Coturnix japonica: one gene and its partners. The protein of the gene in region 5 purifies or fractionates together with the protein of the main gene of each other region. This does not show direct contact. Links are inferred from orthologs where the notes say so. Each region holds a gene or a part of one and is shown on either strand. Other genes may lie near its edges. The genes, in order: KDM5A, EPC2, ASH1L, GATAD1, MORF4L1 and ACTL6A.

Region 1 (3,500 bases), on a different chromosome or scaffold from region 5:
CACAGTTTCCCTCCTGCTATTGTGATTTAAAACAATTTTCTCAATAACACTTGAAAAATAGTTTGACTACCATATTTACTAAATTAAATAACATGCAACAACCTCCCTTTGATTTTAGAGCTTTGATTAAAAATGCATTCCCTAAATATGTTTTCGTAACTCCACTGCTTATATTTATTTGGATTCAACTGAAACAAAATGGATATAACAAATTCACACTCAGGCAAAAAAAACAAACCAACCAGGTTATATACTGAAATAGAAATGCATTTTTAAAAAAATCAGCTTTCTGTATAAAACTTACAAATACTGCAAGGCTGTCTGATTGTTTTAGATGTGAAAGAAAATCACTCAGAAACCTCAATGAGATTCTCTGGGGTATGCACCAAAACAGCACATAAACACTGAATTCAAAAACACTGAAAACGTTCCTTGCCATTCTTTCCACAGCTAATAGTACAAAACGCCACATTCTTACTTTTGTTTTGTTGCTTATATAACAGAAGAAAGCAAAACCAAACCTGATTAAACTGAAATTCTATTCTTCTTCCTGAAAGACGTAGGAATACCTTTGTTTTTTTATCTCTTCAACAGAAAGTACAACTCAAGGGCTTTCCTTGTGTAAGGGAAAATCACTGATAAGCAGCTCACATCCCTGCAGGCTCTCATGGCCAGGCTGGATGGAACCCTGGGCAGCTAAGCTGTTCAGTGGCAGCCCTGTCAACAGCAGGGGGTTGGGCTGGGTAGGCTTTAAGGTCCCTTCCAACTTAAGCCAGTCTAGGATTTTATGATATAATATGATGAGAACAGTTACAATCAAGTGTTCGAATATTTGTGCACATTGGGCATATCAGCATCTCCCAGATTTCTATCATTTCACAGAACTATTGCTGTTTATGGAATTCTATTTTGTTAATTGCTGTTCTAAACCATCCATGTCTGTAACAGAATATTGAAAGCAGACATTGCCCACAATTGTTTTCACTGTTAGGATGTAACCTCATTAGATAAATTCCCTTGTCAGTTAAAATACATCCTAAAAGACAATAAGTGAAGACATTCACTTTTTTTCTAACACAGAATTTAACCGAACTTTAAAGATTATCTCTTTTTGTAATCTAAATTCATTCTGTTTGTTGTTGTTCTTGCCCACAAGTATTTCAGTTACCCTTCTCCATTGTTTTTTATTTGATAGCTTTCTTCAGAAGAAAGGAATAGAAAATAAATCTTGATGGCTGTTTTTTAAGGAGAATTTTTCATAACCAAACTATTCTCCTTCTTGGAAAAAAAAAAGTCCTTCTTTCACACAGGAGAATTCTCATTCCCTATTTTCCTTCAATTTTTTCTTGTTTTAAACTTTAAAAATTAAAACATTCGCTTTTCTAAAATCTGTCAGCCTCTTCTGAGGATCCTGGTTTACTTCAGTAACCTCCAGTTACCACCTCCATCATTTCTCATGTATCTCCCATTCTTAGGTAAGTCGCAAGCAGAGATAAGATGCAGATCATTTTGGAAGAATACTTTTAACTCTGGAAAACAATCTGCTGAGATGCAGTGTTCAGCGTAATCAGCAGTGCTCACTAACCAGGCAACGGACAACTCAGCAAACAACACAATCACTGAGATACAGCAGCTAGAGCAGAATGACATTTATTTAGCAGGTTGGGTTTATTTTTCTTTTTACATTATTTGCTTATTACCTGCATTCTCCAGAACACCTAATTTTCTGGTACAATTCCAGATGTGTACTTCAAACAATAAGCAGAGTCTTATCTATAATAACAAGGTATTGAAATCTAGGACGATCTCTTAGCATTCTCCGGATCTTATACTTCTGCAGTCTGGGGATCATGAGGACAAATTTCTATTTCTAAACACAGTTCCAGATTTATACATAGCTTCCAACACAGCCTAGAAATACTCCTCTGGCTACGTGAGTAGGCTGAGTTCTTCCTTTATTGAAGAATTAAGTTTGGCTATTTTAATAATTAAATTACTTAAAAGATAATGTGTGTATAGGTCTTCTAGAAGGCATTTACATACATATGCATTGACTTTTGACAGACCATTCAAGTGAAATCACCTCTCTCTTTTAAAAAATGCAGCACCTTTAGATGAAATTAAGCAGCCATGTTGTGTCAGAAGTACCATAGAAGTGGCTCTTCCAATGAGATAAAAGAGTTACTCTAAAGAAAGAAGTACCAGAAAAAAAAAAGTCCTACAGGATCTTAATAACACAGTGACACTTCTACACCATGCAGGAGGAAAGAGGTCACACTGGCACTATCCCTTGAGATTAGTTCAAAGCAGAATTCCACACAATGAATGACTGCCGCAGGAATTGCAGCATCCTTAGGGTATTTTTTGGACGCCTCACTAATAAATAAATTGGAAAGCATAGGACTGCTTGTGTGATTGATGCACTGCTATGTGGCTGCAATAAATAATGCCAAGTCAGCTTCTGTTAGTAAAGAGAATAGATTAAAAGGGACAATTTAGTCGGAATCAGTCATGACATAAGAGACAAAGATGAGATTAAGTGTCCTTTATAAACCCAGTTATCAAGCAAAATGTATTGGGGAAAAAGAATACAACAGAATTTTAACCACATCTGACAAAGCTTCACGATGTTTAAAGCAAATATAGAATGATATGAAACAGTAAGAATTTGTTCTAAAGGTAAATCCACCTTTCACTCAAGCTCCATCAAATGGCCAACAGGGAGCTGGTAGAACTGAACCATTTAGTTTTCACAATCTCTACCAAAGTACAGCGGCTAAATATAAACAAACAACAAACAGGTTTTAGAAGTTAAAAACTTCTAAACTGCACATCTACCTCAAGCATAGTCTCAGCAAGACATCTTTCTCTAGATTTTATTTAAGTAAAGATTTCTTTCTCATGGTGCTTTTGAGCAGGCTTCCACAAACAAAGGCTGCCACACTCCCAGTATTGCTTTGCTGGTAGAAGGGATAAGGGTTCTCTGCAATAACCAAGAAATAAGGGTACCTGGGACTTGACACGTCTGGTTCTCTTCAGCACAACATTCATTCTCGAACCTTGCTTTGGTGAAGTCTGGGCATCTGAGCTGAGGTCCTCAGCCTCCACTTTTTCCTTAAGGTTCAAGTTAGGCTTCTGGATGCCCTAGAAGGTCAGAGCACAGAACACCAGTCGATCAATCAGGTAGTGCTGATCATTCTATGGTCTGTAAACCAGCCTCTTTAACTAAGAAATAAGCCAATGACTGAAGTCACACAGCACTGCACATAGCCATTTGGACAAGAGGTTGATTAATCCAGGCATCCTGGGCATGGAAGTTGTTTAGTCTTACTTAAAGGGAACCTACAAGAAAGATAAGCAAATTTTATCAGGGAATTTAGTGAGAAGACAAGGGGTAATGGTTTCAAAATAAGAAAAAAAGGCTAGATTTAAATTAAATACAAGGGAAAATTTCTTCACTACAAGGGTGGTGAAATACTGGAACATGATACCCCAACTTG
Region 2 (3,500 bases), on a different chromosome or scaffold from region 5:
TGGAGATGATTAAGAGGAGAGAGAAGACAAAACGCGAGTTACTGCATTTAACGTTGGAAGTTGTAGAGAAAAGGTAAGCTCACAAATTATGTCACTTATAACTCTAAGGTTTTACTTCTCATTAAATAGGTTTGATAACAGCTCCTGTGATTTATTCCTACATGGATGCTCTTCTTTTGCACACATGCATGGCTGGAGGCATGTATTACTTATGTAGACTTCAGAAGCTGAAACAGAAAGGTTTTTATGCAGCCTCTTTGCCTGTTCCTTGTTCCTCTGATGTTTCCCAGTGGAAATAGACTATTTTAATTAACTTTTTTTTTTTTTTTTAAGATACCATTTGGGTGATTATGGAGGTGAAATTCTCAATGAAGTGAAGCTTAACAGACCTGAAAAAGAGATGAGCACAACTGCATCCACTCTTCATAATGGAAATCATCACAAAGTTCAAGAATGTAAAATTAAGGTAATCTTCCTTCTGCTTCAAGTCTCCTGTTGCCTGTACCCTGCAGGTGTTTGCGTTAGAAAATTGTCTAGCAGATTGATATGCTTGCTGTGTTTAACATCTAATTTTTTTTCTCACCTAAATTTTAAAAGAATTGGCCATCACCCACCAAACAAACACCTCTGTGGTAGCCTTCATTTTTTTCTTCTCACAGTTCTGTCCCTTTCACTGTATGGTGATGTGAACATGAATGCTGTAAGCGTGCAAAAGAACAACACTGAGATGGCCAAGCAGTGAATTGTTTTCCCATTGACAGGCACTTAGAGCACTGCCTTTTTCCTGTACTATTGTCCATGAGTACTGGTTAGCCCTCAGTGCAAAGACAGTCTGCTGATTTACAGCAAGAATACTGGAGGATTCTAGGAGCTGTTTGGAATTGTTGGAGTGCTATAAAACACTCATCTGTAAAGCTCGGGAGTTGAAGCCCTTTTGAAGTTTGTATTTAGCACCTGCGACACCCAGTGGTCACTGGATGTAGTACAGATCCCTTCCCTTTCTCTGCTGGGAATTGTGCCTGCTGTTTCTCATCTCTGGTTTATGAAGCTGAACTGGAGTTAGTTTCAGTCAGGCAGCTACTGACAAGTGGTAATTTGGGGGAAGAATTAAAGAGTTTTTCAAAAAGCTTCTCTGGCTTTTACTCATTAATTGAAAAATTTGGAAGAGAAAGTAATCATTAATTGGAGAGCTTTGAAGCTGTAAAACGTTTGTGTTCAAATAACAGTTTAATATTGCTGCAGTTGCTTACTTGATTGCTGGAGAGGATTAATGTTAACAAAATCTTAAAAATTAAATAAAAACATTGCAAAAACTAGTAGCATGAGATCTTACAAGAAACACAAGCCATGTGAGAACTGGAGAACATAGAATGTTTCTTGTGAACAGATTTGAGCAATTAAGAAAACAGTAAATTCTTGGCATAGAAAACTGAGACCTCAGAAAGCAATTGAAATAGGCTTTCCAATTACAGTATCCTGAGAGTGATGAAAAGAAAGGAACCTCTTAATGTAGTCACATAGCATGAAAGCTTTCAGTTTACTAATAAACTTCTGTAAAGACAATTGGAAGTAAGGTTTTGAGGTCTCCAGATGCTTTGAATAAATTTTGCAGTGTATCTGATATTGTCCACTAGTGCAGCATGTTGAGAGGCCCTGGAAGATGAGCAGTCATGTTTTTCTAAGCCATGAGGTGAAGAAACAATATTAATTACATGCTTTTATTTGTTGGAACTCTTCCTGTTTTTCACAAACAGCATCCTCATCATTCATCTCTAAAGGAGGAGATATCAGATGTTGTACGTCAGAAGAAGAAGTATCTGAAGAAACCGAAAATGGAGTGTGTGGTAACTGCTCAACAGCCCTCTGCTGAGCCCTTGCCTGTTATCAACAAGAGTGATATCAAGCAGTATGACTTCCACAGCTCAGATGAAGATGAGTTCCCGCAGGTAACAGTCCATTACAATTTCTTTTAGCCTACAGAAAGTGGAGAACTCAGCTATCTGGAATATGGACAGGATAGCTTGAAGTGGAGAATAACTGTGTTGGACAGTTTGCAGAAGCTCTTTGAGTTTATTTCATCTTCCAAATTGTGTTTTGGAGAACTTTATATATTATATAAACCAATATTTATAAAATATGTCAAATGCAAACTTGTATAAAAATACGCTTTTACCATATTAGTCAATTGGATGCTATATATTGTATATTTTAATATCTGTATTATATACATATGGCAGTTGGAAGAATAACTTTGCTTTCTGGCTTAGGTACCCTCACCGGTATCAGAAGCAGAAGAGGAAAATGATCCTGATGGACCCTGTGCTTTCAGGAGAAGAGCAGGATGCCAGTATTATGCTGTAAGGCTAACTGCTGTCGCATTTAGTGTGTTGGGTGTTCTTGTTTTGTTTTTGTTTCATTGTCATATTGTCAGCGGAATAGTTCTTTTAGTCCCTTTTCGTTATGAAAATCTTGGTGATGGTGACTCCAAAGAAAATCTGAGTTTTTCACAAGAATGTTTTTCCTTGTGCTGTTCCTCTGACTTCCTAAAGGTAACACAAAGCATTGCCAGCAGCCTAGTTCAACCACTGTTTGAATGGGAGGACTCCCACCCCTTCCATATGTTCCCCTTGGTTCTCCTAACACATCCTTTGTTCCCAGCTTATAAAGCTCATGGGATGCTACTTGTCTTAGTTCTCAGATGTGGGCGCGTTAATTGGAGTTGGTTGTAAAAGCAAAATAAAATTTGTGACTGTATGGTCTTTAAGGCTGCCTATTATAACTCACTGGAGAAGTAACTGAGTTGCCAGGTTGTCTGCTCCAGAAGCCCAGACAACCTCCCTGAGTACTCAGGTTAGATCACAGGCATCTCCTACAAGTTGTGTTGCAAGTTGTTTGCACAACTCAAATGTGTGCTGGCATCTGCTTCTGTTCCTGCCATGCAGGTGTTTTGCTATTGTGATCACTCAGAGAATACCACAAACTACTTTGTGTTTTCAGAAATGTGCAAAATTGTCTCTCCTTTATTCTTTCCAGCCTCGTTTGGACCAAACTAATTCTTCCTATGAAAATGCAGAATTGGCAGAATTGGACAAACTGAGGTTCAGGCATTGCCTTACAACCCTTACAATTCCAAGAAGGTGTATAGGATTTGCAAGAAGACGAGTTGGCAGGGGTGGAAGGTACGATTGCATTGTTTTCACTCTGTTTCCCTTCAAAGTATAAAAGCATATATATATATGAGACATAAATAACATCCTTTCTTTTTCCATCTCTTAAATCAGGGTTATAATGGACCGAATATCCACAGAACATGATCCTGTCTTGAGACAGATTGACCCGGAAATGCTGAATAGTTTTTCAAGCTCTTCCCAGACTTTAGACTTTTCTTCTAATTTTTCACGGACCAATGCTTCCAATAAACATTGTGAAAACAGACTGTCCCTTTCTGAAATACTAAGCAATATCAGATCATGTCGACTGCAGTGTTTTCAGCCAAGGCT
Region 3 (3,500 bases), on a different chromosome or scaffold from region 5:
TAGAAAGGTCAGAGCTTTTTAAAAACATTTCATACAGTGCACTATCCAACAGTAATTTGGAGCAGGCCAAATTCTTAAAAAACATAGGGTCGTCTTCATTCGTGGAGCACGAATTTGTTAAGCATCAGCTGCCAAAACTGAACGAGGGTAGTGGACAGTCTCTTGCACTGCTAACCGAGTCTGACAAGCAGACTCCAAAGTTCTACAGTGCACACAAACAACCTTCAAGTTTGTGTATGTCGGATGATTTCTTACCTGACATGTATAAACCTAAAAGAGGAAGACCTAAATCCAAGGAGATGCCCGAGCTTGAAGGTCCCCCCAAAAGAACTCTAAAGATCCCAGCGTCAAAAGTCTTTTCGGTGCAGTCAAAAGAAGAGCAAGAACCTCCCATTTTGCAGCCAGAGGTGGAAATTCCTTCCCTAAAGCAGAGTTTATCGGGACAAGCTTTTCCTAAAAAGAGGGGGAGGCCTAAAAGGCAGATGAGGTCATCGATCAAAATGAAGCCACCAATTCTTTCTGTAGCACCTTTTGTTGGAACAGAAAGCTCAAACAAGATAGAATCTGAAAGTGATCAGCATCGGAGCGGGGAGTTTTTTGAGAGAAAGGACCAGCTCCGAGGACCAGAAGATGTCCAAAAACCTAATATTTGTAGCATGAGTGATTTGGAAGGAGACTCAGACAGAAAAGTTGCCAAGAGAAACAACGGGCAGTTAATGAAAACTATTATTCGGAAAATAAATAAAATGAAAACTTTGAAGAGAAAGAAACTTTTGAATCAGATTCTCTCGAGTACGGTGGAACCAAATAAAGGGAAAGTGCAATCTAAGCTCCACAACACGGTGTCGACACTCGCCGCCACTTTCGGTTCAAAATTAGGCCAGCAAATTAACGTCAGCAAGAAAGGAACGATTTACATAGGAAAAAGGAGGGGAAGGAAACCCAAAGCTGTCCTGAACGGTATTTTAACTAGTAATTCTGCCAGTCTGACAGTTCTTGAGAAATCTTCCCAGCAAACTCCCGGCACATCATTTGGCCAAGTACTTCCCCACTTGCTGCCTTCAGCAGCTAATAGTTCCGAGATTCTCCCATCCCCTGTTTGCTCCCAGTCCTCTGCAGTCAGTGGGGGGCAGAGCCCCGTCAGCAGCGACGCGGGATTCATCGAGCCCAGCTCGGTGCCGTACTTGCACATCCACTCCAGGCAAGGAAGCGTTGTTCAGACACTCGCAATGAAGAAAGCTGCTAAGGGAAGGAGGAGATTATCTCCACCCACGTTGTTGCCAAACTCTCCTTCTCACTTGAGTGAGCTGACATCGCTGAAAGAAGCCACTCCTTCCCCCGTGAGCGAATCTCACAGCGATGAGACCATACCCAGCGACAGCGGGATAGGAACAGATAACAACAGCACTTCAGATCGAGCCGAGAAGTTTTGTGGGCAGAAAAAGAAGAGGCATTCGTTTGATCACGTTTCCCTTATCGCACCCGAAGCTTCCACGGTTTTAAGTAATCTCAAAGAAAAGCATAAACACAAATGCAAGCGCCGGAGTCACGATTACCTCAGTTATGACAAAATGAAGAGGCAGAAGCGGAAAAGGAAAAAGAAGTATCCTCAGCTTCGAGGTAGGCAGGACCCGGATTTCCTGGCTGAATTGGAAGAGTTAATCAGTCGATTAAGCGAGATTAGAATAACCCACAGAAGTCACCATTTTATCCCCCGAGATCTCCTGCCTACCATTTTCCGGATAAATTTCAATAGTTTCTATACTCACCCTACTTTTCCTTTAGATCCGTTGCACTACATTAGGAAACCTGATTTAAAGAAGAAGAGAGGCAGGCCTCCGAAAATGAGGGAGGCTATGGCAGAAATGCCTTTCATGCATAGCCTCAGCTTTCCTCTCTCCAGCACCGGGTTCTATCCCTCCTATGGCATGCCTTACTCTCCTTCCCCCCTCGCAGCTGCTCCCATAGGCTTAGGTTATTACGGAAGGTACCCTCCGACTCTTTATCCCCCACCACCTTCTCCTTCTTTCACCACCCCGCTGCCACCACCCTCCTACATGCATACAGGCCATTTGCTTCTCAATCCCACCAAATACCACAAGAAAAAGCATAAACTTTTACGGCAGGAGGCTTTCCTCACGACGAGTAGGACTCCGCTCTTGTCCATGAGCACGTACCCCAGCGTTCCACCCGAGATGGCTTATGGCTGGATGCTGGAACACAAGCACAGGCATCGCCACAAACACAGAGAGCATCGTACATCCGAGCAGCAGCAGGTTTCCATGGACACCATCACGGCTAATAGCTCTTCAAGAACAGTCCTGGAGTCCTTGAAGCGCTACAGATTTGGGAAAGAGGCTGTCGGTGAGAGGTACAAACATAAGGAGAAACACAGATGTCACATGTCTTGTCCCCACCTGTCGCCTTCAAAGGGATTGCTAAGCAGAGATGAACAGTGGGTCCGGAGGGAGCCTTCGGAGTCTAATTCCTTAGCACTGGGGTTGCAGACGCCGTTACAGATAGACTGCTCAGACAGCTCCCCAGGTCTGTCCCTGGGGGGATTTACTCCCAGCTCCGAGCCGGCCAGCAGCGATGAACACACAAATCTTTTCACAAGTGCAATAGGCAGCTGCAGAGTCACAAACTCTACCAGCACCAATGGACGTAAAAAACTAACTGACAGCCCCGGACTCTTCAGTGCACAGGACAGCTCGCTAAATCGACCGCTCCGAAAGGAACCATTGCCTTCTATTGAAAAGGCACTGCAGCCACTGTCAGGTAAGGGAGCTCTCATTGTATCACCACATGAGTCTTATGGTAAGCTCTAAAGCAGCTTGCATTGGGAAGGCAGGCAGCGATAGATTTGGCTTTGTGGAAGTTTTTTCTGTGTTGGATTTTAGGACTACCATTGTTTTGATGGAGGATTTCTGTTGTGTCAGTGCACTGTTCTGCTCAGCTTCTGGCACAGATTAATGGGAAGTCTCCTATGTACAGGGCTGCCTAAGTACCTTTTCCCACCAGATTTGCATTGCTTAGTTGTAGAAGCATACAAAGTTTTCTAGGGATGTTTTCTCATTCAAAAGTCTTTTCTTTTTCCTTACGATTTCTGATCATTTTAGAAACCATCTTTCTGCTTGTTTTGAAGTTTGATGGATTGATTTTAGGCTAGCTATGGGTACTAGTACTGTGAGCAACTTTTCCATTAAAGAAGATGTTCCGTATTTCTTTCATGACTCGATTTTAGGTGTTCTGATAATTTTTCCTGTAGTTTGGCTTTGATCCTTGAGGCCTTTTGCAGTACCTCCAAACAGCTGCAAAATGATCCTGGGAATGCCCAAGACCAAACATTGTAATGACTGTTTTATTCGTAGCTAGGAAGCTCATCTTACATATATCCCTAGATGCAACTGAGACTGAGCACAGGAAATGGCAGTGGCACCAGCAGAGGATTTGCTGTTCAAGGACCTCCATTCTGCTGTGCTAAGAAATGCTGAGCGTTT
Region 4 (4,147 bases), on a different chromosome or scaffold from region 5:
GGATCCTCAAGAGCTGTTTGGGTGAAGCAGAAACAGCAATATGTGAAGATAACAGATAATCAGGAAACCTGTACTGCCTCTGCCACTGCAATGTGCCTTGGGCCAGAACCCAGCGACTTCCAAAATGGGGCTGGTTCTTGGCTTTACCATGCTTTTGAATGAGGAATTAAGACCTACATGTTGCCAAGATATGTGTGCTATACACGTAAAAACTCTCCAATACATTTCAAGAATAGTGTCCCTTATAGCTGAGGTAATTAAAAGGAAAAAAAAAAAAGCCCTAATAAGAGAGCTAAGGAGCACATGAACCTTAGCACAGGACCATGTGGAAACCCAGACTGCACCAGTCGGGCAGTTGTGCCCAATTACACGCATTCACAGCACAGATATCTCCAGACCAGCCCTCCAGGTGCATCCTCTGCAGACAGACACAACACTAATAATGACTCTTCAGACAGGAGCCAGCAGATACAGGAAGCCGAGAGGAAGCAGCGCAATTAAATTATTGCAGAATAATTAAACTATGTAAGCAGGGGATGCATGGAGCATATGTGGATACGCAGCACTTCTAATAGTAAGGGTGTATTAAAAAAAGCGTGTCCAGCAGGTCGAAGGAGGTGATCCTCCCCCTCTACTCTGCCCTGGTGAGGCCTCATCTGGAATATTGTGTCCAGTTCTGGGCTCCCCAGTACAAAAAAGACAGGGATCTCTTGGAAAGAGTCCAGCGGAGGGCCACTAAGATGGTGAAGGGCCTGGAGCATCTCCCCTATGAGGAGAGACTTAGGGAACTGGGTCTGTTTAGCCTTGAGAAAAGAAGGCTGAGAGGGGACTTGATCCAGGTTTATAAATACCTGAGGTGTGGGAGCCATAGTGGTGAGGCTGGTCTCTTTTCAGTAGTGTGTGGGGACAGGACTAGGGGTAATGGGATGGAAGTACAGCATAGGAAGTTCCGCACGAATGTGTGGAAGAACTTCTTTACAGTGAGGGTGACGGAGCACTGGAACAGGCTGCCCAGGGAGGTGGTGGAGTCTCCTTCTCTGGAGATATTCAAGACCCGCCTGGACGCCTACCTGTGTGACATGGTGTAGGGAGCCTGCTTTGGCAGGGGGGTTGGACTGATGATCTCTAGAGGTCCCTTCCAACCCCTACAATCCTGTGATTCTGTGATTAACCATCACCATCTGAAAGCTCACAGGAATAAACGATCCTGCTCCGTTGTTCAGGGAGCGCTCAGCCCACACTATGTGGAGTCCACGAGCAGAGCGGCGATGCCGATTCCCCCCGCATGGCGGTGCAGGCAGCACAGGCCGGGCCGTGCCGCGCTCCTCCCTTCGCGCCGCCACGCAGCGACATCCGCCGCCGGGGAGGGGCCGAGAGCGAGGCGGGCCCGGCGGAGCCGCCGCGTTTCCCCGTGTCCCTGCCGGGGGCCGCGGGCCCCGCCGCCGTTCTCAGTATGCCGCTGGGGCTGAAGCCCACGTGCAGCGTGTGCCGCAGCACGTCCTCGTCCATGTGGAAGAAGGGCGGGCAGGGCGAGATCCTGTGCAACAACTGCACGGCCCGCTCCGCACCAACCGGGCCCGCCGCCTTCGCCACCACCTCGGCCGCAGCGCAGCACAGCAACGGCGGGGGAGGCGGAGGGAAGCAGGTGAGGCGGGGCGGCTCCATTGCGGCGGCTCCATTCCATTCCCGCTGTGTTTAACCCTCCGTCCCCTCCCCCAGAGCAAGCAGGAGATCCACCGGCGGTCCGCCCGGCTGAGGAACACCAAGTACAAGTCCGCGCCTGCCGCCGAGAAGAAGGTGTCCACGAAGGGCAAAGGCCGGAGGCACATCTTCAAGCTGAAGAACGTAAGGCGCTGCCGGGGCGGGCGGGATGCGGCCCGGAGCTCTGTGGCCCCAGTGCTCCTGTGTAAAGCACGGACGGCTGCGGCTCGTTTCCCGTGTATCCAAACACTGCGAGTCTCCGTCAGTATGTCATCGGCTTTAAAGGGCGAGAAAACCCACCCTGCAGTTAGTTCTCTTGCTTTGCTTTAATGCTCTTCCATCTGTGTTGTTTTCCCCAGCCCATCAAGGCCCCTGAATCCGTATCCACCATCATTACCGCAGAGTCGATCTTCTATAAGGTACAGCCCCCGTACACCAGAAGGATCTTACTCACCCTTGTCTCCCTGTGTTCATCAGAGAGGTATCAGCTGGCCGGGCTCCCACCTGGGCTGTGTGTGAGTGGTCCCAGTGCCCTGGTAGTGAAGTGCACCAGCTGCTCCAGTTTAAGCTGTGTTTGGATGGTGCACTCGGAAACAGGGCTTGAGTTTTGAATGGCCCTGCCTGGAGCCAGGAGCTGAACTGCTTGATCCCCTTGGGTCCCCTTCCAGTAGTCCAGTCTTGACAGTGCAGACACTGCAATGTGTTGACACGATGTTACGACACCAAGTGATGCTGGCCTTGCTGTGCAGCATTGCGCACTGACTGACGCCTGACCTAATCAGGAGGTGACTGTGTTTTGAGGCTGCTTTGCACACAGATAGATGAACTTCATGTGCAGAAAGCTGCTTTCCCTGCATGCACAGGGCGATTGCTGCTATTGCTTTTTATGGAAGGTGGCATCACACTACTGACATAAAACCATCGATGCTGTGCAGGTGGGAGGTGCAGTGGTGGTGGGAAGGGGGGATGCAGAGCAATTGAGAGCTGCAGAGCAATTGAGAGCTGGTTCTTTGAAGGTGGGTGATGCCAGGCTGCTTCTGTGGCCTTTGGCAGGCAGAGATGGTGAGGAATTACCTGTCGAGCTTCAAAAACAGTTCAGGGACTGAACTCAAAGTTCCAGACATTGGGTGGTTGTGGGCAGGTCGTGCTGGTGACTGCTCAGGTGTGACAGTGCTCTGGTTTGTGCCACCTTTCACTGTATGTGGGAAAACTATGGCTGTATTGAGATTGGGGTAATTTGAGATAGTGTAAGGTCATGATATTCAACATGTGAAACAGAGCGAAGCTTCTGAAATCAGATTGATTTGACTTTCGTTTGTGTGCCTTCTAGGGTGTGTACTACCAAATAGGAGACGTTGTTTCAGTAGTTGATGAGCAGGATGGCAAAACGTACTACGCCCAGATCCGGGGGTTTATCCAGGACCAATACTGTGAGAAGAGTGCTGCGCTAACATGGCTTATTCCTACACAAGCCAGCCCCAAGGACTGCTTTGACCCCGCATCCTATATCATAGGTATTCTCTAAGCCTTCATTGCATACGACTGCTTACATGTTCCCAGACTAATGCAGAGTTGTAACTTTAAGTGTACTTCATTAGTTTGTCATGGTCCTTTATGTCATTCCTACATTTTAGACCCTAATCCATTTACTTTACTTGAATACTTTTTCAGGTTCATGTATGTGAGCAGCACTGCTGCAGTGAGTGCCCTTGTTTACTTGTGCTCAAGCGCACAATTACAGTGTCAAAACTCTAAGGATCCAACTACTATTCCTCAGGTAGAATTCAGGTTATTATGACATAAACTAGATGTGCCAGTCCAAGCTGTTTCTTCTGGAGTGACCAGAATTAGTTGATTTTAATCTTGGATATATAAAGTACATTGTGTACAAGCACCGGCATAGAGAGTGTTCTGCAGCTGGTTATGTATTAATAAGTTGAGTAAATCTTTCTGACAGGCAAGCACAAACAGTGTAGTATAGTATAGTACAGTATAGTACAGTATAGTATAGTAAGAATGTGTTCTTCAAATAGAAAAAAAATCAACCCAGTAGAAATAAAGAGGTTTCTCACTGGTGCTGTAGCCTCAAATACTGTGCAAAGTAGTTTTGTATCATCTTGGACTCTTCAATTTTATGCCTTCAGAATTTGTATTTGAAAATCCTTATGTTTTTTCCCATAGGACCAGAAGAAGATCTCCCACGGAAAATGGAGTATTTGGAATTTGTTTGTCACGCACCTTCGGAGTATTTCAAGTCTCGATCGTCTCCCTTCCCTACCGTCCCCACAAGACCAGAGAAGGGGTATATATGGACTCATGTAGGACCTACCCCTGCAATCTCCATTAAAGAAACTGTTACCAATAATTTATGATTTTTTAAAGGAACACTTCGGACCAGTTGTTTTCAATATATTCTCAGGTTTGCAAATCCCATAGGAGAAGTTTG
Region 5 (3,500 bases):
GGTCATTCTTAGAGTATTTTATGTGGCCTGCCTACACCTCTTTGCTAAGACTCTGCTAGGCTGACGCTCTAAAACTGTTTTCTATCCTGACAGCAATTTTCTGAACTCCATTTTTGCTTGTTCACTGTAGGTTTGGAAGGAAAGACACACAAGTGTCACTTCACGTGGTGATGAGCTTCCAAAGAAATAATAATGTGCTGCTACAAAGCTTTATCTCATCATCTGGGATCTGGCACGCAGAATTTCTTTTACTTTCTGAGGGGTTTAATTGGACTCCTGTTAATAATAAACAAATGGGAACAAGGCTGGTAATGCTCTTAGTTCCAATTTTCTTAGTAAATGAATAAAATCAGTGAATATACCAAGTTCAAATAATGAAAACCTGCTAGGGCAATTTAATTTTTGTTTCTAATATCTCTGGACTTATCTGAATATTTGCATATAGCAGGCATTGCATGGCAGGTGTCTGTAAAATGTTTGCACGTAAGTTTCTCAGTATGACCCTCAGTTTGGAATACAAATGAGGACTGGGGGAAGTTTGAAGTATGTACAGCACATTTTGGGAGCAGCATCTGGAAGAAGATAAATATTAGGGACGCTGCTATTCAGTGTTGTTCCAGATGTTACGAGTGAGAGGCATTGTGATCTCAATTGTGATCTCCCCTGAACTTTGATGCCATGATAGGCAGTCCATGCAATTTGATGCACACAATGAATTCTGATGGTGCTGCTGAAGCGGTGAAATCATTCTTCCAGTACTCTGCAGGACAGTCAGTTGGCTGAGCTGTCTGATGTTCCCTTGTCCTTTGTTCTGTCTTTGAGAGATCTCTGAAATGCTGAAATAGCACCTCTACAAGCATTTGGGAAATACGAAGCATTGGTGAATGTTCCTGGGTAATGATGGCTAGGAGTGCTTTAAGATGCTTGTTTTTTGGAACTACTCATGGCCTGTCTTCTGTAGATTTGAGTTGAATTAATCCCCAAAAAGAGAACACCACCCTTTGTTCCACAGGAATCTTGAAGCATCAGTATTATGGTGGTAAATAATCTCCTTTTGTTGTTTTCTAAATTCTTTGTAGGCCCCTGAGTGTTTGTGGATCTGAACTTACTGTACTTCTGGCTTTCAATTCGTTCAGTACTTTCATTTTTATGTTTGCAATAATTTGTGTTCTTCTTGCAGGAAAACAAAAAAGAACAAGCAGAAAAGTAAGTACATCTTTATTGTGTGTGTAAGTGGATATACTTTGTTAGGGAAGGATTCTTAGCTGGAATAAGACCTTAAATCTGCCCCCACTGAGTTTAGTTCCTGTCAACTTATGGTGCTTCTCCTGGACTTCAGGTGTCTCTTCTGTATTATTTGCTAGTTAATAAAACAGGACTGTATAATTTGCTGCTTTGTACATGGACTCTTCCAGTCTGTCATGATTTAGACCCCTTGGAAATAGAATGGTATTCCCATTGATCTGCTGAAATAATTCTCACTATTAAGTCAAACCTCAGTTTTCATACTGGGATGGGACATGTCTGCATAGCTGAGTTGTTGGTTCCAAAAGTTCCTTTTTTTTTATTGCTATTTCTTATGGCCTTACCAGACTTCTTACACAGCACACTGTTTCTCTTCTGTACAGCTCCTGGAATTGGAGAAGGGAGCAGCAGCAGTGAGACTCCTCAGCCTCCTAGGAAGAAAAGGGCACGAGTAGATCCAACAGTGGAAAGTGTATGTGTGTATGATTCTCCTACAGGATTTTTGATGGGGAACAGAAGAGCTGCTTTGCTCAGAAACACAGACAGCAGTGCTTTATCCTGCAGTATGGCGGTGTGAATTGTTACAGCTTCTTGAAATGCTAGGCCTGCCAGGTGGCCTTAAAACCTGAGCTATTTCCCTGCTCCCCCAAGAGATGACTTAGCAGTTCTTTACTCCTGTAGTGTATTTCCTTTGTGGAAAGGATGGGATGAGTGCCTTATCTCAATTGGTTATCTGAAAGTAATTAGTGTGAATCCACTTTCTTTTTTCCCCAGGAAGAAACATTTATGAACAGAGTTGAAGTAAAGGTGAAAATCCCAGAAGAGTTGAAACCGTGGCTGGTAGATGACTGGGACTTGATCACCAGGCAAAAACAGGTAATTTTAGAATTCATATCTCACTTGAGTGCAGTGCAGCAAAATCCCTCATAGAGTTTGACAGAAGCCTTACTTGACAGTTCTGGTTGCAATTGGATTTTACCTGAAGGTCATCTGTGAGTTGGACTGTGCAGCAGAATTGTGTGCAAGTTTGTAGACTGTAATCAGTCTAATTGGGCATAAGCTCAATGTCAAGTAATTACAAGTTTTGTGATGTTCCTCTAAGCGTGTTTGGCCTATTGGAATGCCTTGAAAAGTTTGCTTAGGTGACAGAATTAGTCTGTATGAGCATTACAGGTGATGTTCTGTCCTGTCTTGTTTATGCATCACTCATTCAGAAAGCAACTGAAGCATCTACAGCTCTGACTAAATATGGTCTTAGAATAGTGATTTTTAGCTGTGCTGCCAAGCTGGATCTGTATAAAGACTCCTGATAGAGCAGTTTTGCCTAAAATAAACTGTCTTCCATTGTAAGAAATGTAATATTTTTTCAGGAGCTTGTTAGTAAGTGAAATGACTTTGCATTCTTCTTGCCAGTTGTACTAAGTGTTGCTGAAAACTGTTCATTATTATTGGTCCCAGCAGGTGCCCAGCAGGTTTGTTTGCTACCAGTCCTGGGTGCTGAACTGGATGCAGGAAGCAAAGCAAGAAAAATAGTAGTCCAGGCTGCTGCTGCTTGTACAGGCGTGGTCTGTGGCCTGGTGTAGGCAGGTGTGCTGACATCTGTCTGCTTTGCTGCTTACCTTTGATTCTTGGGTTGCTTTAATAGTTCATCTTCAGGTTGATTTTAAGTTGCAGAAATGCAAAATGAGAACATGAATGTGGCTGCTGTTAGGTGTCTTGATGTGTACCACTGAACCAGCTGGAGTTTTAGCAATGCTTTACACACTGACTTGTTAATTTTATTCCAGAATATCTGTATGTCTATCAGTTTAAGTTTGTCAGTTTGTATTTTCGGTTTTGTGTCTTCCACAGCTCTTCTATCTTCCTGCCAAGAAGAACGTTGACTCTATTTTAGAGGATTACGCAAACTACAAGAAATCTCGAGGAAATACTGATAACAAGTAAGTAGCAGTCAGTTCAGATCTCAGTTCAGATCTCAGTGTTGTCTCGTTGTTGTTGGATGTCTCGTTCATGAAGAAACTTGCAGAGTTGTTAATCATACCTCAGTGCTGTGCTCAGCCTGGTATTTGAGACCTAGGTGGTCCAGGCCTTCAAGGACACCATTCAAGAACACAGTCCTACATCCAGAACATTTGCTCTCTCCCTGCGTTCTGCCCCTTCCCTGGCACTTTTTCCTAAAGGAAGCTGTTGAAGCCACCTCGGTGGTTCTCTACCCATTGTCACCCAGTGAACAGGAGTCTACTGTTGCTTTGAAT
Region 6 (3,927 bases), on a different chromosome or scaffold from region 5:
CCAGGCAATTGCTGAGCAGGAAAGATTGGTCGTGCACAGGAACGCCCTCTCCCCATGCTGCACAGCCACACGCCTCTTCTGCTGGCACCACTGGGAGATCTCAAGTGCTGCAAAAGTTACAGATAAATGAAGCAGCAGACGGCTGTCTTGGTGTCTCACAGAATGACCTGGGTTGGAAGGGACCTCAAGGATCATGAAGTTCCAACCCCCCTGGGCCCCCTGTCTCACCCACAAAGCTATCATAAGCCACTCTTGGGGAGAGCAGGGTCTGCCCCAAAGCATCAGTTACCACAGGGATGTTATGAACCACTATGAAAACAAAGCCCAAGTACAGGCACAAGCTGAAGAAACGTCCCCCAGTGTTTTAACACCCATTTTGCTTTACAGCCTTCCCCAACTGCAATTAATTCATCCTTCTCCACCAACTCTACCTTGGGTATTAGTGCCACGTGCTAGAAATCACTATAACACATTAAAGGGCACCATAAAATAAATCAAAGCACACCAACATTACACAGTACAACTAGTGGCAAAGAAAGATTTGTGCTGATCTTCCTCATGCAAACACCTATAAAACTCTTTGAAAAGGCTGACAATAGCAGGACATGGGGAAATGGTTTGAAGTTAAAAGAGGGAAGATTTAGGTTGGATGTTAGGGGGAAGTTCTTCACTAGGAGAGTGGTCAGGCCCTGGAACAGGCTGCCCAGGGAGGTTGTGGATGCCCCGTCCTTGGAGGTGTTCAAGGCCAGGTTGGACGGGGCCCTGGGCAACCTGATCTAGTAAAGGTGTATGTTTGGTGGCCCTGCCATGCAGGGGGGTTGGAACTACATGATCCTTGTGGTCCCTTCCAACCCGGGTCATTCTGTGATCCTGTGGCACACCCACCTCAAGAGCTCCTCCCTCAGCTCCTCCCTCAGCTCCTCCTCCAACTCCTCCCTCAGCTCCTCCCGCCCCTCTCTCCTCACACCGCCCTTCCCGCGCACTGCACCTACACTTGCTTGCTCTCACTCTCCTCTACCAAGCTCCTCACTTCCCGCCTCATGATTGGCTACTCATAAGCAAGCCCCTCCTCCCTCCCTTCTCTGATTGGCCGCTGTGCCCACTCAGCCGTTCTGTTGGGTAACGCTCTGCAGTGCGGGCGGGTGGGCGGACGGCGGCGGCGCTGCCATTGGCGGGAAGGCGCGGGCCTGCGAGCTGCGCTGAGCCGGGCGGCGGGGCGAGAGACCGAGTGCTATTGTTAGCACAGCGCTGAGCAGCGGGCAGCCATGAGCGGCGGTGTGTACGGCGGAGGTGAGTCTGATATAACGACACTGTTGAGCTCCCTCAGGCCCGGCTCCCTCCCGCCGCATCGCTCCGTGTGTGAGGAGAGGAGGCCGCCGCGGGCCCAGGGTCCGTCCGACCCGTCTGGGTCACCTGCAGGGATGGGGCACACACAGCAGTGCCAGGGTCTCACTGCCCTCTCTGAAAAATTGCCCCCTAACATGCGACCTAAATCTCTTCCTTTAGTGTGGAACCATTCCCCATCGTCCTGTCACTATCAAACCATGTAGAAAGTCAGTTTCCCTCTTGTTTATAAGCTCCCTGTAAGGCTGCAACAAACTGTCACTGGCACCTTCTCCAAGCTAAGCAAAGCCAGCTCCCTTTCTCCATAGCAGAGGAGCTTCAGCCCTTTGATTGTCTTGACCCTCCTCTGGACTCACTCCAACATCTCATTCTTATGCTGGGGGCCACAGGCCTGAATGTGGTACAACAGATGGGACTTGGCGAGGGCAGGGCACAAGGGGATGGTCACCTTCCTTGCTCTGCTGGCCACCCCTCCCCTGATGCAGCTCAGGATGCTGTTGGCTTTCTAGGCTGAAAGCACACACTGCTGGCTCATGTCCAGCTGTCTGAGTCTCAAGTCCTGTGCAACACCTTGTACGTGGCCTTGTTGAATGTCATGAAGTTCATGTGGACTCGCTTCGCAAGCCTGTGTTTAGATGCAGCTCTCGTCTGTTAAAATTGCCCTTTTTCTTTTGCCAATGAAAGGTATTGCAGTGTCCTGGTTACAGCCTATCTGTAACCTCCTGGTGGCTCTCAGTTAGCTTGAATTCTGAATAGAGAAATTGCTCTGTGTCTCAGGAAAGATGCTTTATCATATTGGGCTTTTTTTTGTTTGTTTGTTTGTTTTCTGGCAAGCAAAGCAGACAAGAGATAAGTTCAGGTCAGGATTGCAGTAGAGCACAATAACCATTCACTACTTCTTTGTTAACAATCTTTGCAGATGAAGTTGGGGCTCTTGTTTTTGACATTGGCTCGTATACAGTGAGAGCAGGCTATGCAGGCGAAGACTGTCCAAAGGTAAGAATCTTTATGAACTCAGTGGGATTACAATTGGAGCTTGAACTTGTTTATTAGTCATAAGCTTCCAGAATATACTGTTTATTATTATTTAAGGAAAACTCTGAATTTTATTAGCCCCCTAAAAAACAAACCAATGAAAAACAAAACCAAAAACCAACAAAACAACCCACATCCAAAATGAATAACCTTCATCAATATTTTACCTTTTGCTTTACAGGTTGATTTTCCAACAGCTATAGGCGTGGTGCTAGAAAGAGACAATGGCAGCACTCTGATGGAGATAGATGGTGACAAAGGCAAACAAGGGGGCCCAACGTACTACATAGACACCAATGCCCTGAGAGTCCCAAGGGAAAATATGGAGGCCATTTCACCTTTAAAAAATGGAATGAGTATGGTGCTCTGTCTTTTTTAGCTGTCTTTAAGATACAATTGTTAGGCTGCAACAAGTCATAGCTTTCATGTAAACAGATGCTATCCATGTCAACTGTTTTTTCCTTTGGACTTAGAAAGCAGGCTCGTAAAGAAACGGTTCTGCTTTCACTTAAGATATTTTAATACGATAATGAGCATTTTTATGTCTTAATGGGAGACTTGTAGATTCTTGTTTATTTGATGGCTTTAATTTAGCTGTCTCCTTTGATAAAACAATTAAGAAACAAGTTTTTGGAAATAGTTCCTAATATTGTTCCTGTAACGTGTATGGACAGAGGCTATCAGCCATAAGAATGGCTCAATTTACAAAATGTCAGTGGACTTTTATTGTAACTTATTTATTTATTATTATTTATAATAACAATTCTTATTTGCTGTCATGATGCTTAAAAAAATATAGATGAGAATTTGGCAAAGCAGGAGGGGTATAGGGCTGCTGAGGACGGCTTTTGTCTGAAGAGCTCTTAGGAAAAAAAAAAACATCAGGAAAACTTTATGTGGATTTATGAAGTAGATCAAAAGTTAGAAGTAACTAATCTGCTTGCTTCGATGTCGTTGCAGTTGAAGACTGGGATAGTTTCCAGGCAATTTTGGATCACACTTACAAGATGCATATTAAATCTGAAGCGAGTTTGCATCCTGTCCTTATGTCTGAAGCACCAGTGAGTAAAAGGAGCTTTGCATTGTGAGGAGACTTATCAGTATCTTCTTGCTGAATCTATAGACATTAGTCTTGGAGAAACCCAGCACTGGCTTGTAGGTTATGAGTGTTAAAACTGAACTACAGAAGTAACATTTAAAAATATCATGCAGGTTCTGGAAAGTATTCTCAATAGGAAAAATGTCAAAAAAAAGCCCAAATTTGAAAGAATTTCTATGCGTTTCATTAGAACACACTTACTATGTGTTACTGTATTTCATGTATTTAAAAAAAAAAAAAAAAAAGTAGTATAAAATCAAAAATAACCTCACTTGACAGCACAGAATAAAAGCAAAAAGTTGTCTGAATGTCTTCATATATTACACTTAATCCATCTTTGCATGCAATCAGCCTGCCATCTAACGTGACAGGGAATAACACGTGTAGTGGAGTTTTAATTTCGTTTCAGCAAATGCTCCTGTAACATAAATGAGGTGCATGAACACAGA

Evidence for each region.
Region 1: the proteins of MORF4L1 (region 5) and KDM5A purify together in Homo sapiens (affinity purification with mass spectrometry; 5 studies listed by BioGRID and IntAct, counting the BioPlex papers as one, with this or other methods). This does not show direct contact. The link is inferred for Coturnix japonica from reciprocal best matches to the Homo sapiens genes MORF4L1 and KDM5A.
Region 2: the proteins of MORF4L1 (region 5) and EPC2 purify together in Homo sapiens (affinity purification with mass spectrometry; 5 studies listed by BioGRID and IntAct, counting the BioPlex papers as one, with this or other methods). This does not show direct contact. The link is inferred for Coturnix japonica from reciprocal best matches to the Homo sapiens genes MORF4L1 and EPC2.
Region 3: the proteins of MORF4L1 (region 5) and ASH1L purify together in Homo sapiens (affinity purification with mass spectrometry; 4 studies listed by BioGRID and IntAct, counting the BioPlex papers as one, with this or other methods). This does not show direct contact. The link is inferred for Coturnix japonica from reciprocal best matches to the Homo sapiens genes MORF4L1 and ASH1L.
Region 4: the proteins of MORF4L1 (region 5) and GATAD1 purify together in Homo sapiens (affinity purification with mass spectrometry; 7 studies listed by BioGRID and IntAct, counting the BioPlex papers as one, with this or other methods). This does not show direct contact. The link is inferred for Coturnix japonica from reciprocal best matches to the Homo sapiens genes MORF4L1 and GATAD1.
Region 6: the proteins of MORF4L1 (region 5) and ACTL6A purify together in Homo sapiens (affinity purification with mass spectrometry; 6 studies listed by BioGRID and IntAct, with this or other methods). This does not show direct contact. The link is inferred for Coturnix japonica from reciprocal best matches to the Homo sapiens genes MORF4L1 and ACTL6A.

The regions. Positions count from the first base shown.
Region 1 is NC_029516.1:52,336,210-52,339,709, reverse strand, and holds part of KDM5A (lysine-specific demethylase 5A), read right to left. Parts: intron 3,145-3,500; coding exon 3,010-3,144; intron 1-3,009. UniProt on the Homo sapiens protein: Histone demethylase that specifically demethylates 'Lys-4' of histone H3, thereby playing a central role in histone code. Does not demethylate histone H3 'Lys-9', H3 'Lys-27', H3 'Lys-36', H3 'Lys-79' or H4 'Lys-20'.
Region 2 is NC_029522.1:31,160,690-31,164,189, reverse strand, and holds part of EPC2 (enhancer of polycomb homolog 2), read left to right. Parts: coding exon 1-73; intron 74-333; coding exon 334-466; intron 467-1,754; coding exon 1,755-1,946; intron 1,947-2,267; coding exon 2,268-2,357; intron 2,358-3,033; coding exon 3,034-3,179; intron 3,180-3,281; coding exon 3,282-3,500. UniProt on the Homo sapiens protein: May play a role in transcription or DNA repair.
Region 3 is NC_029540.1:1,741,180-1,744,679, reverse strand, and holds part of ASH1L (histone-lysine N-methyltransferase ASH1L), read left to right. Parts: coding exon 1-2,778; intron 2,779-3,500. UniProt on the Homo sapiens protein: Histone methyltransferase specifically trimethylating 'Lys-36' of histone H3 forming H3K36me3. Also monomethylates 'Lys-9' of histone H3 (H3K9me1) in vitro. The physiological significance of the H3K9me1 activity is unclear.
Region 4 is NC_029517.1:20,625,708-20,629,854, forward strand, and holds the start of GATAD1 (GATA zinc finger domain-containing protein 1), read left to right. Parts: upstream 1-1,347; 5' UTR 1,348-1,453; coding exon 1,454-1,645; intron 1,646-1,719; coding exon 1,720-1,845; intron 1,846-2,060; coding exon 2,061-2,120; intron 2,121-3,031; coding exon 3,032-3,215; intron 3,216-3,882; coding exon 3,883-4,073; 3' UTR 4,074-4,147. UniProt on the Homo sapiens protein: Component of some chromatin complex recruited to chromatin sites methylated 'Lys-4' of histone H3 (H3K4me), with a preference for trimethylated form (H3K4me3).
Region 5 is NC_029525.1:17,834,149-17,837,648, reverse strand, and holds part of MORF4L1 (mortality factor 4-like protein 1), read left to right. Parts: intron 1-1,180; coding exon 1,181-1,206; intron 1,207-1,628; coding exon 1,629-1,717; intron 1,718-2,019; coding exon 2,020-2,121; intron 2,122-3,096; coding exon 3,097-3,185; intron 3,186-3,500. UniProt on the Homo sapiens protein: Component of the NuA4 histone acetyltransferase (HAT) complex which is involved in transcriptional activation of select genes principally by acetylation of nucleosomal histones H4 and H2A.
Region 6 is NC_029524.1:15,354,701-15,358,627, reverse strand, and holds the start of ACTL6A (actin-like protein 6A), read left to right. Parts: upstream 1-1,127; 5' UTR 1,128-1,265; coding exon 1,266-1,290; intron 1,291-2,263; coding exon 2,264-2,340; intron 2,341-2,560; coding exon 2,561-2,735; intron 2,736-3,339; coding exon 3,340-3,440; intron 3,441-3,927.